Struthio camelus: one gene and its partner. The main gene of each other region encodes a partner of the protein of the gene in region 2 in a complex. Links are inferred from orthologs where the notes say so. Each region holds a gene or a part of one and is shown on either strand. Other genes may lie near its edges.

The links.
Region 1: the proteins of MUSK (region 2) and DOK7 are in contact, whole or in part, in a crystal structure (PDB 3ML4), measured with the Mus musculus proteins. The link is inferred for Struthio camelus from reciprocal best matches to the Homo sapiens genes MUSK and DOK7. Residues at the interface, in NP_035074.2 of Mus musculus: Leu547, His548, Pro549, Asn550, Pro551, Met552, Tyr553, Gln554, Arg555; in NP_001335203.1 of Mus musculus: Leu154, Ser155, Asp156, Leu157, Arg158, Arg159, Tyr160, Gly161, Gly172, Thr173, Arg174, Ser193, Asp197, Val200, Arg201.

Annotation. Positions count from the first base shown.
Region 1 is NC_090945.1:76,475,125-76,484,965, forward strand, and holds the start of DOK7 (protein Dok-7), read right to left. Parts: upstream 3,543-9,841; 5' UTR 3,370-3,542; coding exon 3,316-3,369; intron 3,161-3,315; coding exon 3,115-3,160; intron 1,379-3,114; exon of another isoform or gene 1,058-1,378; intron 319-1,057; coding exon 88-318; intron 1-87. Other genes in the region: HGFAC (hepatocyte growth factor activator), read right to left, coding at 7,297-7,470, 9,816-9,841. UniProt on the Homo sapiens protein: Probable muscle-intrinsic activator of MUSK that plays an essential role in neuromuscular synaptogenesis. Acts in aneural activation of MUSK and subsequent acetylcholine receptor (AchR) clustering in myotubes. Induces autophosphorylation of MUSK.
Region 2 is NC_090982.1:17,586,907-17,596,361, reverse strand, and holds the start of MUSK (muscle, skeletal receptor tyrosine-protein kinase), read right to left. Parts: upstream 3,601-9,455; coding exon 3,522-3,600; intron 1-3,521.

The DNA of each region.
Region 1 (9,841 bases), on a different chromosome or scaffold from region 2:
CTTTATTATTTGCATTTTAGCTCTGCTTTTCTTTGCTTTCTTCTCAAAGCAAAAAAAAAAAAATGAATATGACAAGACAAAGGTTACCTTCCCCCAAACTGTAGCGGATTCGTACATCCCACGCATACATTGTTTCCTTGTTCTCAAATCCCAGCATCACAACTTGAGAGAGACAGATGATTGCAAGCGTGTGATTCAAGCCCTCATAGGGGAGCCCAGGATCCAAGCCACAGATGTCTTCTAAGGTCACGCTGCTCCTCTCCTTATGCCCTTTTGCTCGTTCAGATTTATCCTTGTACACCAGCATGAGCAAACAATCTAAAAGAAGCAAAACTGTCAGAGAGGATGAGGCAGAACAGAACACAACACAATTCTCAGTACTCTGATTCAAAATAAAAGTGCTTTTGACAATTGGAGGGTCAGTCTGATCAAGAACTCTGTTTCCTCCCCCACTAAGCAATTCACAGCCCTCACATGCAGAGAATAAATATTGAAGGCATTTTTCAAGTGTAATCTGCAGGGTCAGAAACAAGAAGGCAAGTAAAAACTCTTCCCAATTATTTTACTTTTCCAAAATCCAGTGATTTTCCAGATAGCCTTCTGCATCTGGAAGATAACTGACTGATCAATTCTGAACATTAGCAGTTACTCTATGATAGCTGTTCACATTATAAACACTAAAGCTGAGAGACTATTGTCATCTATATTTCCATTAGAACATATTGAACCACATATGAAATTCTCACAGTAGTTCACAGATTACTCAACTACTAAATGGTGAGCAGGCTACATGGCCAGGGAGATTGTTAGTGTCAGCTCAGGTTTCCTAGTTAAATGTTACACAGTAGCTATTGCTAAATAATCATTATGTGCCATACTTACTTTTTTTAGTATTTGCTTGTGCCACCATTTGTTTTTAACCCCTTCCTGGAGCTGTTATTACCCAGTAACTATGCAATGCAAGAAAGTAATCCAAATGTCACAGTCACACGGAAGAAGGGCATTTCATGATCAAACGCAAAGGGCAAGGAGAGAAAAAAAAAAAGCACTCCCTCACCTTTTGCATTTGATAACAATAGCCTCTTCCTCCAGGGTACCTTCTTATCATATAGCACTCAATTCTAACTGAAATTAACAGTAAATATTGAAGTTATAATATCCATTGCTTAAGCTGATTTACACACTGCAAAGGAGAAAGCCCTGTGTGCTCCATTTAGTGAATGTTGGGGTGGTGTGCTCTGAACCCTGGCAAGGGGCCTCTACTGTGAAAAGGGCTGGCAAATCTCCAAAGAGGTGAAAAATGACGGAAGGATTGAACTGCCTGTTAACTAAAGCAAAACTCTGCATGCATTCCCAATTGTTTTCTTGCACCTGTTAGCAGAAACAGCTGCAACCACGAGATTTAAGGATTCCATAATACAGCTGCCTGTCTGGAGAAAGAAAAACTAAGATTTACAGAACAAATAAGCAAAACCTTGGGGGTTAGCTAACGTGGCTAATTTAAATGGCTATAATAAAAATAGTATCTCTGAGAAATAAGCTATATTATCTGTCAGTAGATTTCCAAAGAAAGTTCCCCTCCCTTCCTCCCTTCAAACTTTGTTTCCTCATGTTAGAAATCCAGACCCATACTCACATGTCTAAATATGAACACTAGGACCAACAGATGCCCATTCAGGGAGGGAAGTTTAAGAAATTCAGTCAAGATATAGGTTAAAATAACTATTTAAGACGCTAACAAGTTAACTGCAATAACTCAAGTAACAAGGAGTTGGGTCTGAGGTTCACTTATTAACAAAAACAACAAGTCTGCCAGCAACAACCTCAGAATGATTCCATAATCCATCCCAAAGCACTGTGGATTCACGTTTTGTAAACGTGGGCAACAATTAGCCCTGGAAATACATACTTCTCGGGCCAAATATTTTCCCCTTTAGAAAAAGATGGGCTTCTTAAAACCTATTTTTCCCCTCTCCAGTAGCAAAACATCAGCTTTGAATAAAATCTTCAATTTTCCCTTCAAAAACACAGAAATTAAGTTTTCAACTCAAAAAATGCCACTTTCTTTTTAAACTGAAATATTTCATGTCAATACACTGATTCAAAATAACCACCAAACTTAACATGTCAACTTTTTTACAGCCACCCTAAGGGGGGGAAAAAAAATTTCTGTTTTTTTTGTTTTGTTTTGTTTTTTTTTAAGAACTCTGAACTGACATTTTAAACAGGAACCAAAAACGAATAGTCATGCCTTGGAACGTGGGTTTTTCAGTTGTTTTACTTCATATCTGGTCAGAACGCCCAGATTGCTTGAAGCTACTAAAACCTTCATTCTGAAGGTCTGAATTTACAGTCGCTGGCAGCGCTTCCTCCGGCCGCTCCAAACATCATAACCTGGCACCAGCGCGCGGGTTTCATCGTTGCCAGAAAAACTCCTGCCAGCGGCAGCGTTACGAGGGGGCTGCAGGGGTACATAGCGTATAACCTGCCAGGGAAGCCACCCCCGGGCTCCACTCAGGCAACAAGCAGTCTCCCACAGGCAGGGCATGCCCAGCATTTTGGGGGTGGGGGAGGCAGCACCCCGCCATTTGGCGGAGGGGAGGGGGGGGACGCCCCGCCATTTTGGGGGGCCGGTTACCACAGCGGGGGCGGCGCCAAGGCCGGCGGCGAAGCGCTGCGGCAGGAGCCGTTAACGGCCGCCAGCCAGACCCCCGCGAGCTGCGAGAGGGAGGAAACATGAAGCCCGGCAGCTTCTCCTGCGCTCCCTCCTCGCCTTTGCGTTCGTTACACTTCGGGGCTCTTTCAGTAGCCTCTATTTTTGGCCGCCTGGCCTCTTGCTAACTGAGCCCATAATTTCACACTCCTTCCCCCTCCCCCTTTTTTTTTTTTTTTTAACAAAAAAGAGGAAAGAGCAGCGATGGCTGGAGGAGAGCCCCGCTGAGGGCCGGGGCGCTCTCCTCCTGCGGCACCCAACCTCGAGGAGGGCTGTGTAAACTCAGCTGGCGCCTCGCTTTCTCTGGGGCCCCAAATGGTGCCTCCCCCTGGCCGGGCGGAGGAGGGGAGAGGGGGACAGCCGGGGAAGGCACAGCCTGGGCCCCCCCCCGCCGCTCTTACCTGCCACCGGGGACGGCTTGCGCAGCACCAGCCACCTACTCTTCCACTGCAACGAGAGGCAAAAGGACAGGGTTAGCCAGGGCCGGAGCGGGCTCCCTCTCCCCTCCCGCGGCAGCCCCTCGCGACGGGGGGGAGCCGGTCGGGGACCCCCGGCCGCGGCCCGCAGCGGGACCGGACCGAAGGGGCGCCGAGAGCGGGGACCTTTTTTCCATCTCTCAACTTGACGTGACCCTCCACCACCACGGAATCCGTCATCTTCAGTCATGATTCCGGACAGCTGCGCCCGGCTCGCTGCTCCCTCCCCGCGCTCTGGCCGAGGGGTCACTTTCAAAATAGCTTTATTAGGTCCCCGCACAGGCACAGGGAGCGAGGCGGGCGCACGGCCAGGGCGGCGCGGCGCGGCCCTCCCCGGCGCCCCCCGCCCCACTGGCCGGGGGCCGGGCCGCGGAGGGGAAAGGTGGCCCCAGGAAACTCGACGAGTTTTGTTTTATTGTGGTACTTTATTGCCTTGTTTTGTTTTTCTGGTTTTTTTTTTCCTCCGATTCGGATAGCACGAGACGGGGCACCCAGAGAGCGACGGCCCCCGCCAGGGCCGCCGCGACGGCGCTCCTTCGGCAGCTGAGCGCCGCCCACCCCAACTCCCGCGGCGATCCAGCTCCGGGCTTTGCGGCTGACCGCCGAGGGCGACCTGCGCCCCGGCTCGGCCGAGGGCCGGCGCGAAAGCCCGGACCGGATCCCCCGCCGCCCTCCAGCAGCGGGATCCGGAGCGGGGCCCGGGGCCGGCGGGCGAGACACCCCATTCCGTGCGTCTCTAAACGAGCGGCTTTGCCGTACCGCCCCACTCCTCTTTCCGAAAGCGTAATTACCGATCCCCTCGGCTGCCAGAAGACATTCAGCTAACTACCGCAGATAAAAATACTTTTTTTTTTTTGCTTTGTAATGCAACTGTCACAAGATAACAGCCCACTTGCACAGAACGCGGAGCTGCTACAATTAATAGAATAAGATGTGCTAATGATGTCCTCAGATTTATTTCAATGAGCGATGGCCTAATTAGAGTCCATTATTCCAAAAATACTCCTACTGCATCTTATTTGATGGTAATTAGTTCTTCAGCTTTTTTTAAACAACACCACAGTACATTTGTCTTTCAATAGTATAATAGAAGGGGTGGGTTTTTTTTTTTTTTAGATGTTTGCGTTTATGTCTCTCCTTTTAATTGGTCAATTTGCCTGCAATAACATGTAATTTAATAAAACCATCTTTAAGTGCGTTTCATAATGAATTTCAGGTGTGTTTGTTCAACTGGTTTTGCATCCTAATTCAATTTCTAGATAAATGTTAGGAAAATTCCCATCAGACAAAATTTTGCTAGTAAATTTATGCTGGATTTTCATTCTAACCAAAGTAATAAGCGCTTAAAGAGAGGAAAAAGTGGGGGCAAAATTACCACGGGGAATGCTCAAGAGAAAAGGCAGGAGGCAGAGAGTCCAGGAACATAGTACATAGGAACGATATCCTCAGGGCATGGACCCCTTGCTTAACCTGGAAATTTGCTTCCCTGCTTACAGCCACAGAGCTTAGGGAGGCTAGTGATTGGGTCTGAGGGGTTAACACAGGGCTATTCACTAAAGAGCAGATCCTCAAGTCATGAGGTTTAGTTCTACCAAATCAGTGCAATAACAATGGACAGAGAGGCTATTCTGAAAGCCACAAATTAAGTTTAATGCTTTCAAAATAGGACAGTTAATATCAGCTGCAGATTTGTCATACAGGCCTTTCAAGACAGTAAATGGACTATTTCATCTGTGAACATTCCACATATTTTGAAAAAGGATTTTATTGATGTATGGCTGTTGCAGCACACTGGTATGAACAGCATGCGTTTTGAGAACAAGAGAGCTAAAAAGCTCTATGCAACAGAAGCTGTCAGAGCCACTAACCTAGTAGTAGTGTGCTATCAAACAGCCACCCTCTTTGCAGCAAGGCTGGAAGAATATAAACAACACAAAACCACTAGATTAAAAGCATACTTGGTGCGGGTGGATATTAATTTCAAAATGAAACCAAAGTCACAGAACAGCTACGGCCGTGCAGAGTGGCATAAGCTTTGGGTTGACACCTATTAGCAAGGCACAACAAAAGTTATTCCAAATGAATCACTCCCAAAGAGAGTAAATACTTCCCTCGTGATGACTGAGCACGTCTTTCATCAGCAGGTACGGTAAGTCTTGTAAAAGGTGGAAGTCCTTTCACAGCGTTAACCGAGCCAGCCTCATACTGCAAATGGCCAACGAGATAGACCCAAACAACCTGTCTTCAGATTGTTTTGGCATCAGGACCCCAGAGTTGCATCTCAATTTTTCAAATGCCTGTTTAGTGCTTCAGAAAAATAAAGCCTTCATTTTTAGTATTCACAGTATTTGTAACTGAAAATCAGATCTCAGCTTTGCGACTCAGGCTTCTCCACTCCATATTTTCTGTCTACTGGAAATTTTGTGCGACACTTGCATAAAACTGGGAACACCACTAGCAGAAATACATCCTTATGCAGAGCTTTTCAGACACTTTCCTGAACAGAAGAGTATTATTTAATTTTTCACCAGCCCTCAACCCTACATAATGATTCATATATTTAATTGTAATCATATACAACACAGACAAAGTCCAAGAAACAGACCACAGACATTTTTATTAAACAGTTTACATAATTTATCTAGATTAACATTGTTATATCTTTGCCCTTACACAAATTCAGTTTTTGGTTATTTTTCCTTACAAAGTTTCTTTTAGCTACAGAAATAATTCACCACAACTAAGAGACCCATGAAGATACTGCTGGTACTACCAGAAAATACGTTTCTGAGCCTCCAATCATCACCTTTAAATTCTATATCCTGAAAACTAGCTTTGCCTGAAACACTTAAGACAATTCAAAAATGTTCACTATTAGAGAATAAAAACATTTCACATCAGCACTTCCAAATATACATCACTGACATGGCCAAAGATTCCCTGTATTTAAAAAGTTGTAAGTTTCCATTCTTCTTTATCAGATGAGTCTTTTTTTTCTTTTAATATTAAAGCAGTTTCTGCCTTTTTTGCCAACAGAGCAGTGCACACAGCCACAGCCCTCAGCTATATATTGTAATAACTTCTTTGATTGTTCCCATAATAATTCCACGGTCCATGCAAGCAAAGCATTACGAAACTCTTCACCCCAGCCATCCATTTTAAAAATCTAGAACAGAACCCACCTTTCTGAATTATCAAAACAGTCAAACAATTTGTCAGAACAAGATCTAAGACATCTTTAAAACAGTGTCAAATTTAAGAAATATTTAGAAGTATTTATTGTCAAGGTGAAGTATTCCCACTGTTGTCCTCAGGATGAGGAGCAGCTGATAAGGGTCTGCAAAAGGTCCTAACTATAGCCGTCTGAAACCAGGTGCACTGATTTTCAGTATTTTTCAGTAATAAACTTTGTGCTCTCAGGGGGTGTTACATTAACCGTGCTGGAAAATTGCAGACCAAATTCAGCAGCACTCTGAAGCACAGCCCTAATTTTGTGTCAGTGGAACATAAAAATGTTCTAGCATGTTTCATTGAATCACAACCTAAATCCTCTGTTTTTTCCCCAGAAGTGGTTTGCTGCAGTTAGCTGGGGAGCAGCTTGATCTATATCACTCGGCTGGTGTCGTTCAACCTGAACTTTAAGAGCTCGCTTCCAAGGGGAAGGGAATTTCATTCTCGGTGCTCCTCCCTTTTCCTTTCTTCATGTTCTTAAACTCAGCTGAGGATACAAAGACAACGTTGTTATGGGCTGCTTATAAGGTCTGACACCTCCACCAGAAACTGAGTGAAAACACTCAAATAACTCTTTTCATGCACCCCACCAGGCAGACATCAACAGTTGTGGGTTTGGTAAACTTTTCTTGATATGTTTGTATATCACTAGGCCAAATAAAGACAGGCTCGTACACGGAGCTGTCCACAGCCCTACAATTCTAGATCAAAGACACTAACATCAGCTGGATTAGGCCTACTTTCAGGGGTCAGTTCTGAAATTGCAAAAAATTACTATGACAGTTTTCATATTATTTTATGATAAAATATTCACGCCAATTGAGTGAAACTGAAAGACTGCTGAACGTTGCTTGCAATGGTAGCATGTTTGTGTGTTCAACTTGTGCTTCTTCGGGGGGCTATCTTCTCGTTAATCCAGTTTACATAGTTGGTCACTCGCGTATATACTCCAGGTCTGTCGACTCTGCCACAGCCATCTCCCCAGCTGATAACTCCATACAGGTAAGAGATTTCATTTTTATCACAGGCCAGAGGTCCACCAGAATCTCCCTGTGTTAAAAATAAGGAAAGATTATCTAATTTGACAGAAAATAATTGGAAAAAGAGCAGTCAGAGAAAGTCCCAAAGGGAGACTCGCTGGAAAAGATAACTTATGTTTCTGACTTCTACAATGAGATTTCTGATGCAAAAACTTTAACCTTCTTGTAACCATGCATTAAATGGAGTTACAGGTATGATTAAAAAAAAATTCAATAAGAGCAATTTCTAAAATCAAACTTCAGTAGGCTAGTGCTTCCATATTCACTTTTTTAGTCCAAATCTCATATGCAAACATTCTGAATTACGATGGCGGATTCTTTTATTCCACATTAAACACAGGTATCAAAATACCAGATTTTGCCAAAGACACTTTTTGAAACACTCTTAGAATCAGATGCTTACTGAAGAGCATGGATGACTTGGCTCAGTTTCAATGGGAGTCAGTCAGTCCTTAGGGCTAACACTTTAAATTGTAATATAGATAGATTACATAAGGCAGAGAATATTTGAAGAGTTTCTCAGTGTATTGAAACCCTCAGAGATCACAAAAGTGTTCAGAGAGCTGTTGCATACACACACACATACACTTTTCCATGGAACTGTGTGATGCTGCAATTTTACATGGCTTGCGCCCACCGGCATGTGTTGAATGCGATGCTACTGAGCATTTAGCATGCCATTGAAATCATAAACCAAATTGTTTGAGACTAAGGAGAAATATCTATTTTCTATTTAAAAAGAAATTCCTTTGAGAGCAAAGCAGGAAGAAAAATTGTGTTGCCTTGTATTAGGAGATTTCTCTGACAAATGAGGAACATCAGATGCAGTCTTGTCTCTGAGATTAATTTACTTCTCAGGACCTTGCTTATTACTCCACATCTCAGAAGTTCTACTGATTGCAATTTCTGTATCAATTCACTGATTTAAAAAAAGAGTTACCAAGAAAAATCTTTTAAAATAATCAAGCAGAACACATTGTCTACTTGGTATTTATTGGTCTTGAAATATTTGTATACATATCACATGGTTTATAGATTAATTTCCTGAGCATACATTAAGAAAATTCAAAGGTCAGCTACATTTGTTGTGACATTAAGAGGTCTACGCTATTGCTATTTAGACCACACTACAAGTCTGCTGTCAAGGAAAAAAATTAATTATTGATTCACTAATAATGATTTCAGGTCATGAGCACTGTATTGCAGCAACATCTGTGACTCTAAATCAGTGTTTCTCAGACTTTGCAGCTCTCTTTAGACCTTTTGTCTTTGTGCAGCTCCTCTCTCCTTCATTCCCTCGTTCTTTACCTTCTTTCTCCCTCCTTTGTTCCTGAGCAGCTCTGTTTCTCCAGGGCGGGGAGTGAGAACAGAACTATAACACTGAATACTTGTATTACTTCCTGGGCAAAGTAATGAAAACTGAGCAAGCAAGGTAGTTCACAGTTCTCTAGCTAGTAGGAACTCTTGGAGCCAATAACCACAACCAGCTCTCATCTTGGCATGGAAACCCTGAGCCACTGCTGGCTGCTACCATTTCACCTTTCTTGGGACACTCATGATCTCTATGGGGCTCCAGCGCACAGTACACATTATATTCTTTACTTAATCCCACTGCCAAATATTAAACATGTGCTGGCTGTTCCCCAAATTAGTGCTAAAGGAGTGCAACCGATACCAACTAAAGATACAATCAAAAGTTTATCCAAGTAACAGCCTGGTCCTTAGTTTAAAAAGCAGTCTAATCTATCGCCACAGCAGCTCTGTCGCCTCATTCAGAGCTGGAGTGTGACACAACTCAAGAAGAATTGCAAAGCGGTAAGAAGACGAGGTTGTTCCATGAAGGGTGGGAGTCGTGAAATACAGTTTCCAACAGGCTGATACTCTACACTGTTAGAATCCGTCCACTATAATAACCTCGGTTCCTTCCCCCTCCAAGCCCCACCACTGCTCCACACCTCCCACCCAGGTGTCCTTATTTCCACGCAGGCAAGGGGCAGCAGCTACTGGCGCTGGCTCTGCAAGAGCTGCCAGCTGGCCACTGGAGCACTGCCATCACATTGCAATCTCCCAGCCACAAGCTAAGGCAACTCATCCATTGCATAGCTGGTTTTTATGAAGCTAGGAGGGATTTAATGCCTTGGAGGTTTTTGCTTCTCTGAGGAACTTAGTTGACAGTGAGCGGGTTAAAAAATTACCATGGAAGCAAACGCTATGGACACATCCGTTTCACTTCTTTAGGAAATTGGGCTAAGCAATTAGATGTCACAGTAATGTCAAAAGGAAGTATTGTAACGCTGCAGTATATCTTATGATAATACACATATGAGTCAGCTCCAGGCAGCGAATTCACATTACCTGGCAAGCATCAGACTTGCTATCAA
Region 2 (9,455 bases):
TTCCATCACACTGGTAAAGTACTGAAGTGTGGATGGAAGGGATCAAAGGGTACTCCTAGTGAATTACTTTCCCTGCACATGGTATGCATTGCAGCCATTGCAGCCAAAGACACATGAATGGCTTTTAATATATTGCTGTGAGGGACATACATACGATATTTGCTGGACTGGATTTCATTGACAGCTGTGCCTAGATGAACTAGTTTCATACCATGTTCCTTAAACATCACCTTGCAAATGTGCAAGGGATGTAAGAATCTTCCTTTTCCTTCACAATACAGTACGAACAAAATGCCCTACCCGTCGTAAATTATCACAGGATATGTTTTGATTAGCATTATCTGGCACGTTGAGTGTCTTCTCACAGAAAAGGCCTGCCTGCACAATATCTGCTGACTCTTCTTAGTACAATTAGATTTAAGTATTAGCAAAAAGTAAACAAACAGCACCAATTTTACCCCTCTCTCCTAAAACATGGCCAAAACAAGATACTCCAATATCAATTACTGAGGTTAGTATTTCGCATTTACCTTACTTATTTTTTAATTTATATGGGAGTAAAAACTAGAATCTCATTGCGGTTCAGCTGGACTGAAGCTAGGGAGATCAAAAATTGACTTACTCTTTTAACTTCAGCTATCCGATTTATGTACAAAGGCCCAATGCCTTTGAAATGTCATTCAAATAAATCTATGTAAATAGCATTTCTGTATTATATGAGTACAGATTGCATAGTTAGTGATTACTATTTCATACGAAAAGAAGATCCTAAAACTATACCTAAGATAGGACTAAGGGTTATATGCAAACGTATGACACATGTCTTTGTCCGGACTGTTGTTTGAGACCACTGCTTTAAATCGTATCAGGCTTTGATTTACTACTAGATAGAAGGTACTGTCTGTGCATATTGCACCTGGGATGAATCCCACCTCAGTCGAACTGAATGGAAGTTTTTGATGAAGCCTAAATTTCCCTGCTGGTGAAAACTGTCTCTGGAGAATAAGCTCCATTAATGGCTGTCCTATCTTCTTCAAAGGGGTTGTTACTATTTCATGACAGATTTTATGGGGTTTTGGTGGAAGTAAGTCTGACCGAAACAGCTTTTTGCAGTCTAATTTTATATATGATGTTTTTATTGCTGTTGTCCATATGCCTTGATCTCCCCTGAAGGGTGCTTTTTTTAACCCTGAGAAATGTAAATTCACATAGTAAGCCAAACTGAAAGCAACCGGTTTTATGACTGTGTTGCCACAATAAGAATGGCTGTTCTGACATAGAATAAAGTTGGATTTGTACTAAAAGCCAGCATGCCAGCTGCATGATGGCAGCATTTTATTATTTGGGCAAACAAGGACTATCAGGTCCGTATAGTAAATATATTCATTTGGAACAGTTAAAGAGTTTCCTGGTATCTTTTCAGTTCAACATATGACACAATTATCTTTAGCAACATTGTCCACTGGGGGTCTGATGTCGCATCCCCTGAAATCAATCACACAACTCTTAGGACAGAATCAAGCCTATATTCATAGAAAGCCTGGGAGCCTTGAAGAATAATCACGTTAGCAACAGTAATGCATCCTGTAAATATTCTCCTATAGCCTTATCTTTCCCGAACTATAATTAAATGCTGGGAGAGCAGAGAAGGTCAAGAAAACGTTCCTTTTGCTATGGTGAGAGGGAAAAAGGGCACAAACGCAGAACACGTGGTACGTTGATGCGACACAGTAAGTGGGGGAGTGTACCGCCATTTTGTTATAATACAGCGAGGCAGCCCCAAAATGGCTGCAATGGTGCTTCTTTATAATGAGCCATCAAAAAGGCTCAGCTACCGGTATCAGTCGATGTTCTCCCAGGAAAGGAATCAAAACTTATGGAGCCTGTATTACCAGATTTTAACCTGGGAAAATCAAATCAAAACAAAACACTGATATTTACTGTTTTTTTCAGAGACAGCCCAAGATCTTTGTGCGACGTGCATCACGGTCTCTTACAACTTTAGGCTGCGCTGTGGCTTTAAATAATATTGAAAATCAAATAGTTTACACATCTGTAAAGCTACTCAGGTGCCATTTTCCTGGATGTCTGCTGTAGTTCCTGGATGTTGCAAAATCACCCACAGCCAGTTACAGGGCCAAATTGTTCCTTACCTCTTGAGAGAAAACCAAACTCTCTTCTACCTTTGGCCCACTAGAAAGTAACAGATTATTTTGGTTTTGATTTTTGCTTTGTAATTTTAAAATGAGAGAAACCAAGGGAATAAAACAAAACCAAAAGTAGAGCCGATCTGCACTGCAATGTTACAGACACTTGGCAATATTGCATCTCCTGTAGTCAAAAACTGCTCACAAACGTGTTTCCAACTAACACTGCAGAACCTCTATAGGATACCACTTTGCTGTATTTGCATATTCAGCCCCTGCTGAGAAACGTGGCAATCCAGCTACACGTTGATGTTTCAAGTGTTTGAGAAATATTCTGTTTCAAGAAAGGGTTTGTATCTCTTCATTGTACAACGCCACCCAGAAAAAAATCACTCCCATTCCTTTGTTTTTCTTGTCCCAGCAATCATGTTTTACCAGAGCTTTGAAAAAGAGCATGGATCACCAACTATACTGCCTTTGAAATAAATTAACATTTGATTTCAAAAGCTTTTTACGAAGATATGTTCTTGGTTTTCATTTCTGAGGCCAACCTAACTTCCAATTGTAATACAGCAAGGGAAGAGCAGCAATGTTGGCCTAACAGGTGACTACTGGTCTTCTTGAGTTTTTCTGTTTTTTTCCTGAAGCTGTACATTTTCTGACGTACTGTGACTGAATCCTGATAACTGCTATGGGATGGAACCTTTTTGTCCACAGGGTTACCCTATGGCCAATCCAGAAGATCACTGCTGCCCTTCCTACCTCAAAGACTTTTCTGAATAGACCTTTTTCCATTTCTTATATTGACTAGAAGGGGTGTACATCTGTTTGTGTGCGTGTGTGCCTGTGTGCCTACCAAGGAGGAAGTAGATATAATAATTAAATGTTCTATGCAGTAGATATGAAGAATATTTATATACATAGCCACTATAAAGGCATCAAAGCTAATTGCTTCATCTTTAAGCTATATACATTTGTAAGCATACATAAGCACGCAGAATATCATAAAGCTGTGGATTCCACAACACTGTGCACTTTTAGTATTTTAAACCTGTAGCGTTCCTTTGACAAGAGACGTGTCCATCCCACACAGACTGGACCTAAGGTCTTCCTTGTCCGTTAGAATGGGACTAAATGCTACTCCTGGGCAAACAAGCTTCGATCTGAGACACAAATATGAGATTATTTTCATTGATTTTTTCTAAAAACAACAAAGCGACCACTAGACAGATGAAGCTGAAAGCAGCACATTTTTGCAGTTTTCAGGAATGCTACAACAGCGCCCACCCCACAGTTACCAACGATGCCTCTCCCTTGTGAAATCTCCTTACCAAGTGGCAAAAACAGAGAAAGATGAAAACTCTTTAAACAAACCTTTTGGAAGCTTCTCAGCCAAGCTGAGGGCTGCGAGGGTGAAGATTTGTACGAAGGGAATGCTCAGGAGATCTTTCATGTTTGATCCAGAAAAATAGACGGCTCCTTCAGGCAACGTGTACGGAGCTCACTGCCTGTTTCATTTTAGACCATGGTGTGTTAACAAAAAGTTCCTGCGCTAACGACTGAGCAGGGTCTATGGGATCTAAGTATAATCAGGAATTCTCAGACTTGGCTGTGGTGATGGACGTGACCAGCTGGTGTGTATCCACTTAGGTCAGTGTGAAACCGTGGGGCTCATGAAACAAGAGAAAGCAAATCCCTTTAGAATTCCTTTTAAGCAAACAGTGAGGAATACAATGGCCAAATGCTTTTCCAAAACAATACCCTAACCCAATACAGTAAAATCAGCAGGCCATAATTTCAGCACAGTGTAAGTACGGCAGTGGAAAAAATTTTTGCCACTGGATTTTCCTTCAGCTTAGTCCTTCTCTCTTTCATTTTTTCTCCTCTCTCCCTCTCTCCGACTCCCTCTGTCTTATTATAACCTTTCATGATTGGCTGCAATAAACCACCTGTTCCCCTGCTGATTGCATTTCTTTTCTTAACAGATACATTTGCTAGAGCAGGAGAGGTTGGCATCTGGGAGCTGAAAGCAGTCATCTTTGCCAAGGAGGTTGCCAGTACTGAGAATCACTGCAGCAAATCGAAAAAGCAGAGCCTTGTCCTGGAAACAGACCCCTCATAAGCTCTGTGGAAGGGAAAAATGAGTAGCCACAGTGGGAGTGACATCTATACCCTGCAAGAAAACAAATATTTCATTTTAATATCAGCAACAGCACAGGAGATTTTGACATGGGTAGAGGCATTCCTTTAACTAAATTGAATGGTGGATGCCAACATTATTGCCTCAAAAATATCATACTATTCACTAGGTCTCTGTTTAAAGTGAAGGTCATATTTTCTAGGGAGCTTTAGCGGGGCATCAGGCTTGAGGGGATCTAACTAACTTGACTCTCGCCCCTTCTTATCACAGGGGTCTGTGTCGTATCATCTTCTTGCAAAAAATTTCAGGTCAGTTGCAGTCCCCGTTCTCCCTGTGTAGCTATTTATATGAACGACGTTTACGATCAGCATTAACGGCGTGGAATGGCTAGTCTGGGGGCAACATTTGCAGGAACAGAAGAGAAAAAGATGAATAATTAGGTTAGGGAGAATCTAACTGACAATGGTGCCCTGGGAACATGACGTATCAGGTGTGAGTTTTGCTCCCCGAAGCATTAAAAGGCATGGTTCGAGGGAAGGGAATGTGCAGCCATGACGTATCACAGTGAAAGGTACTTTGAGATCTTTGGAATTTCCTTTACTTGCTGGACATCTCAGTTTCAACTTCCTATTAGCAGTTATTTTTGCAATGAATGTACATAGTTAAGAAGTGTTTCCTCTGAGGAGCAAATGGAGAAAAGGTGGCCAGAACTATATGTAAGAATCTCAGTGGTTTGGTATAGCATAATAATATCCATGATACTTTGGGGGTATGCAACCATGACCGGGAGCAAGGATCCCTAGACAAATGCTCCCCTGAACTTGAATTAAAGGCAGAGGTATTCATCAAACATACGTTAAAGATGTTTCAGGAATTCTGGAGCTAGCAACAACCACAAAACATAACAACAAGACAACAACGAAACAATAGTAATTATACCAGGGAACAAAGAAATCCTGACTTATGGCTGAACTTTAAAATATTTCTTCTGTGTTGTTTAAGTCCAGTCACATCCAGTTCATTTGCTTCATAGAAATGCAATTTGGTCTTTTAGGGTAAAATTCTCTTCACGGAGAGAGGTGACCAAAGAGCCCAGAATCACTGGATTTTTAACCGGGTTGTGTTACGAGGACTTCAAAACTGTACCATCTTGTACAAGTCCAGGAATGACTCTTTCTCTTTATGCTTGCTGATTAAAGCATTTAGAAATGACACTGACAGCAATAGCTGTTAAATGTTAATGCCTTTTCATTTTTAGGATTGCCAAACAACTGCTAACTTCTCATTTCCTATGTTTTCTAAATTTTTATTAAGCTTGTAGTAAGCTAAGCTACTCTGAATTGAAGGAATGCAAATTTACATTATAAATGTGAACACAAATGAGAGGATATGCTTGTCCAAGGTGAAGCTACTTTGTTCTGCAGATACACGTCAAATGGCCAGTAGACAAAATACATATGGGAAGCTGGTGATCATCTTTGCCCACCACAGAAAGAAGACATTTCTGTACCTGGACACAGCAAAGGGAGGTGAGTCCAACAGGCCACTGTACTGAGTGAAATCAGTGGAATTGAAATACTGGGGACACCAACTTTTCTTTGGTTCCAAAGATATTTTCAGTCTTGAGCTTATAAAAGTAAAATGCTCTTTTAACTTTTACTCCAAGTAGTTATAAGCTTGTTGTTTGTTTGTTTTCCTAACAGAGCTGAAATGCATACAGTTTATAGCTAATTATAGTTATTGTTTACAGTCATGCCTCCAGGCCTCATCCGAGATGAGGTCCCAGCGGCCTAGACAACTCATAATGAGAAGCAGACCCCAGCTTGCAGGCGCTGCAGTCTAAAGCTTTGTTCCTGCAAAGGTTTGTGCATTAGCTTAACTCTCTGAAGAGCTCCAGGGAAATCGGTGCATGAAGTTCAGTGCAGAAATACATCTCTGAAGTCAGTGCCTACAAAGGTAAGAGAGGGGAGGAACTGCAGGGCATGCATCATCTCCTACAAGGTGTGCTGGAGTTACCTATTACCTGGTTACCATTTTTTCCCTTTGCAAATTGTTTGCAAAGTTATTTTTAGTCATACAAAGAAAGTCCGAATTTTTGAGGATGTGCTGAATAGTTTAGATTAATGTCTTTCAGTTAATTGATTGCTTGTTAACTCTCCGCCATGATGAGGAAAAATTTGATCTTCACTGTTTGCAGGACAGGATCATTCCAATCATTTTCTGTGCATATCTCTCCTCTCCCTCTTTCTTGCACGTGCTCTGCTGGCGTCTGACAGTTTCAAACTCTAACATCACATGATTTGATAGCTGGATACTTTGAAAATTGCCTTTCCTCCACATCACCAGCTGGGATGTTTTCTCTCTAGACAGTCCAAGATCTTCATCCACGTGGACAGACCAGGCCAGATATTTTCGGAAGAAGGTGTCCAGCTGGGGAACAAATTCCCTCTGCAGAGGAACAGAACGAACTTGCTTTGGCAATGGTCCCAGGGAGAGGTTTGGAGGCTACTCATGTAGATATATCCAAGTTAGCACTAGTCCAGCCTGCCCAGATGTCCATTTTAATGCAATGTCATGCATGCCAGTGTTGGCAACCTACCTGAGTAAATACAAGGTCCACTGGTGCAGCCCTCAACAAACACAGCACATCTTAGCTTTGCTACTACTGGTACTTCAGTGATGTTTCTGACTGCAGCACAGATGTAGTCTCTGAGGCCTGAGAGCAGGTTTGAGGCCTGACACACCACACTCAGTGCGAGGCCACACTGACTATTTTTACTTGCTTTTCACCAGCAGCAAGAATCCCTAAAGACTACTAGGTCATTATTATTCAGCTCTATTCATACACATAATGATCAAGCCCTAAAAAGACCAAGCGTTAAACCCGCCAGAGTAAGGGATGAGTACTGACACAGCCAATCTCTTCAAACCCCTTCTACCTGTAGTTCCCTAAAAAATTCCCAGCAAAGAGCAGAGGATCCTGGAGAAAAGTCCCATGTATATACCAGTGTATAATATGAACAAACGTGTTTTTTCTTGGTCTCCTTCTGCAACCCTTTTAGGCATAACCCACAGACTCATGAGGTCCAGACTTTAGAGACTGAAAATACGTGATGAAATATGCAACTATTTTATTATCTGGTATGCAAGCAGTAAGTATTACTATGTAGGGGAAAACTCCTGAAAGCAGATATTTGCTTTTAGTTGAGTTTGGGACTCTAGAGTGGGTAATAGGTTCACCCTTGATATAAATAACTGGATGTATTTGTATCTGAAAATAAGATTTTCCCCGTTGTGGATTCTGTTTTTTTCATCTGCCACTCCTACAGTGCAATCAGTAAAGCCACTGATGTGACCAACAAGGCTAAGCATAAGCATATTCTCACCGCAAGGAAATCCAGAGCCTTGGTTGTCACTGGAGACAAAAGGCACAAAAACAGAGGCTAACGCAGGTGAAGCTGTCATTAGTGAAGATGGAAAACAACTGCTGAAACACACTTCAGGATGAAGTCTGATTTTTCCATATTGTGAAGGTGTTTCATGTGGAAAACCATGCACAATCTTTATCCTTTGCAAATACTGCACTTTATATTGGGCTTAGAGGGCAGGTGTTGGTTGAGGGCATCTGTGGTCATTTACAGATTTTCCAATATTCAGAAAAGCCTGATTTAGAAATAAACTGGATGTATTTCTGCTACCCTGCCGTACTGCAACCTACAAGATATGCAGCTCAGTTTTCTGTGCCACAGTGTCCAAGCATGTGACAAAACACTATGACAGTGCTCTGACTCTCCCCCCCGACCCCGATTTGGCTAATGCTGAGTGCTTTTAAAAATTCCATATTCAAGCATCTGTAGATGTTAGACTAATTTTTGACCCAGGCAATAAGCCTCAATGGGAGGTTTCTGACAATGGATTAATTTAGCAGAAAAAATGGGTCACGGGGCTGGTTATTTTTAATGCAGCTGCCTTTATTTACCATGACAGCACCCATTCTGTTTCCCTAAACACAGCTGGAATCAGAGGGTGAGTGGCCGCTCTCCGGTCGTGGCTCCAAGCGTCTTGCAGCCAAGGTGCAACTCAGAAGCACATACACCTCATACTCTTTCTCTTGGAGCCACTCTTTCCACATTCGCTAAGCCTGTGTCTGGTGCTCCCTTGCTGCTTCCTTCTTCAAAGCTCCTCGGCTCTCTGATGCAGGAGTCTTCACAAAACAGTTGGCAGCGAAACATTCCAGCTACTTGGGTCTGCCGTCTGCCCATGTGTCTTCCTAAACAGAAATGCATTAGGAATTCATTGCTGATAAGGTTATGGGAACACCAGTCCTCCCAGTCCCACCTTCATGTGCTCCCACCACTGCTCAAATGCTGCGCATGCTTCTGGTTGTATGATATGGAAAGGTATAACAACACATGCCCGTGTTTGTGGAGGATGTAAACAGCGTTTTAGTTCTTTCGTTACACATCATAACTTGCTTCTTTATCCTCATCCCGAGCAAAAGCTGCTCTTACAGCTAAGGAGATTTAGCCCAACCTGTAACAAACATATGGCCCATAGGATCTCATTGCTTGGGTCGGTAGTACCAAATGCTGAATAGACTGAAACATGTGAGAGAGAAAGCTGTTTTGCTGCTGTGCTGTACTCTGCGCTTATATTTTTTCTGAATTGTTAAAATGAAGGAAAGACATTCCTTTCAAGCTTCTCAAGACATTTCTTTAAGGAGCATGGACCCACATCCAAAGACTGCTTCTTATGCTGCAGTTACAGAGTTTTAGGAGCACTTGGCTTGACCTTTCAGCCATTTGGACCAATCTTCAATCTCCTCCTAGTATTTCAACATTTTCTGAACTCTAAAGCCTCATTTCTAAAATATTCCTCTTTTTTTTTTGGTCTTAAGATTTTGTGATTACTGGAAAAATCTAAGATTTGCATTAATTTTTTGGAATACTTCTATTGCTTTAGTTTTGCTATAAACTTTCACTGATTTTTTTAACTTACAAGATCTGCCAACACAGACCGAGGCCAGTCGAATCTGATGTCCTATGATCTTCAGTAGGGTAAAATTATCTGGTGTAAGGCAGTATAGTTACGGTAGTGAAAAATGCAAATACTACAATGAAGAAGAAAAGTCCTTTGTGATGCAGCTAGCTAAGTGTGCACTGGTGTAT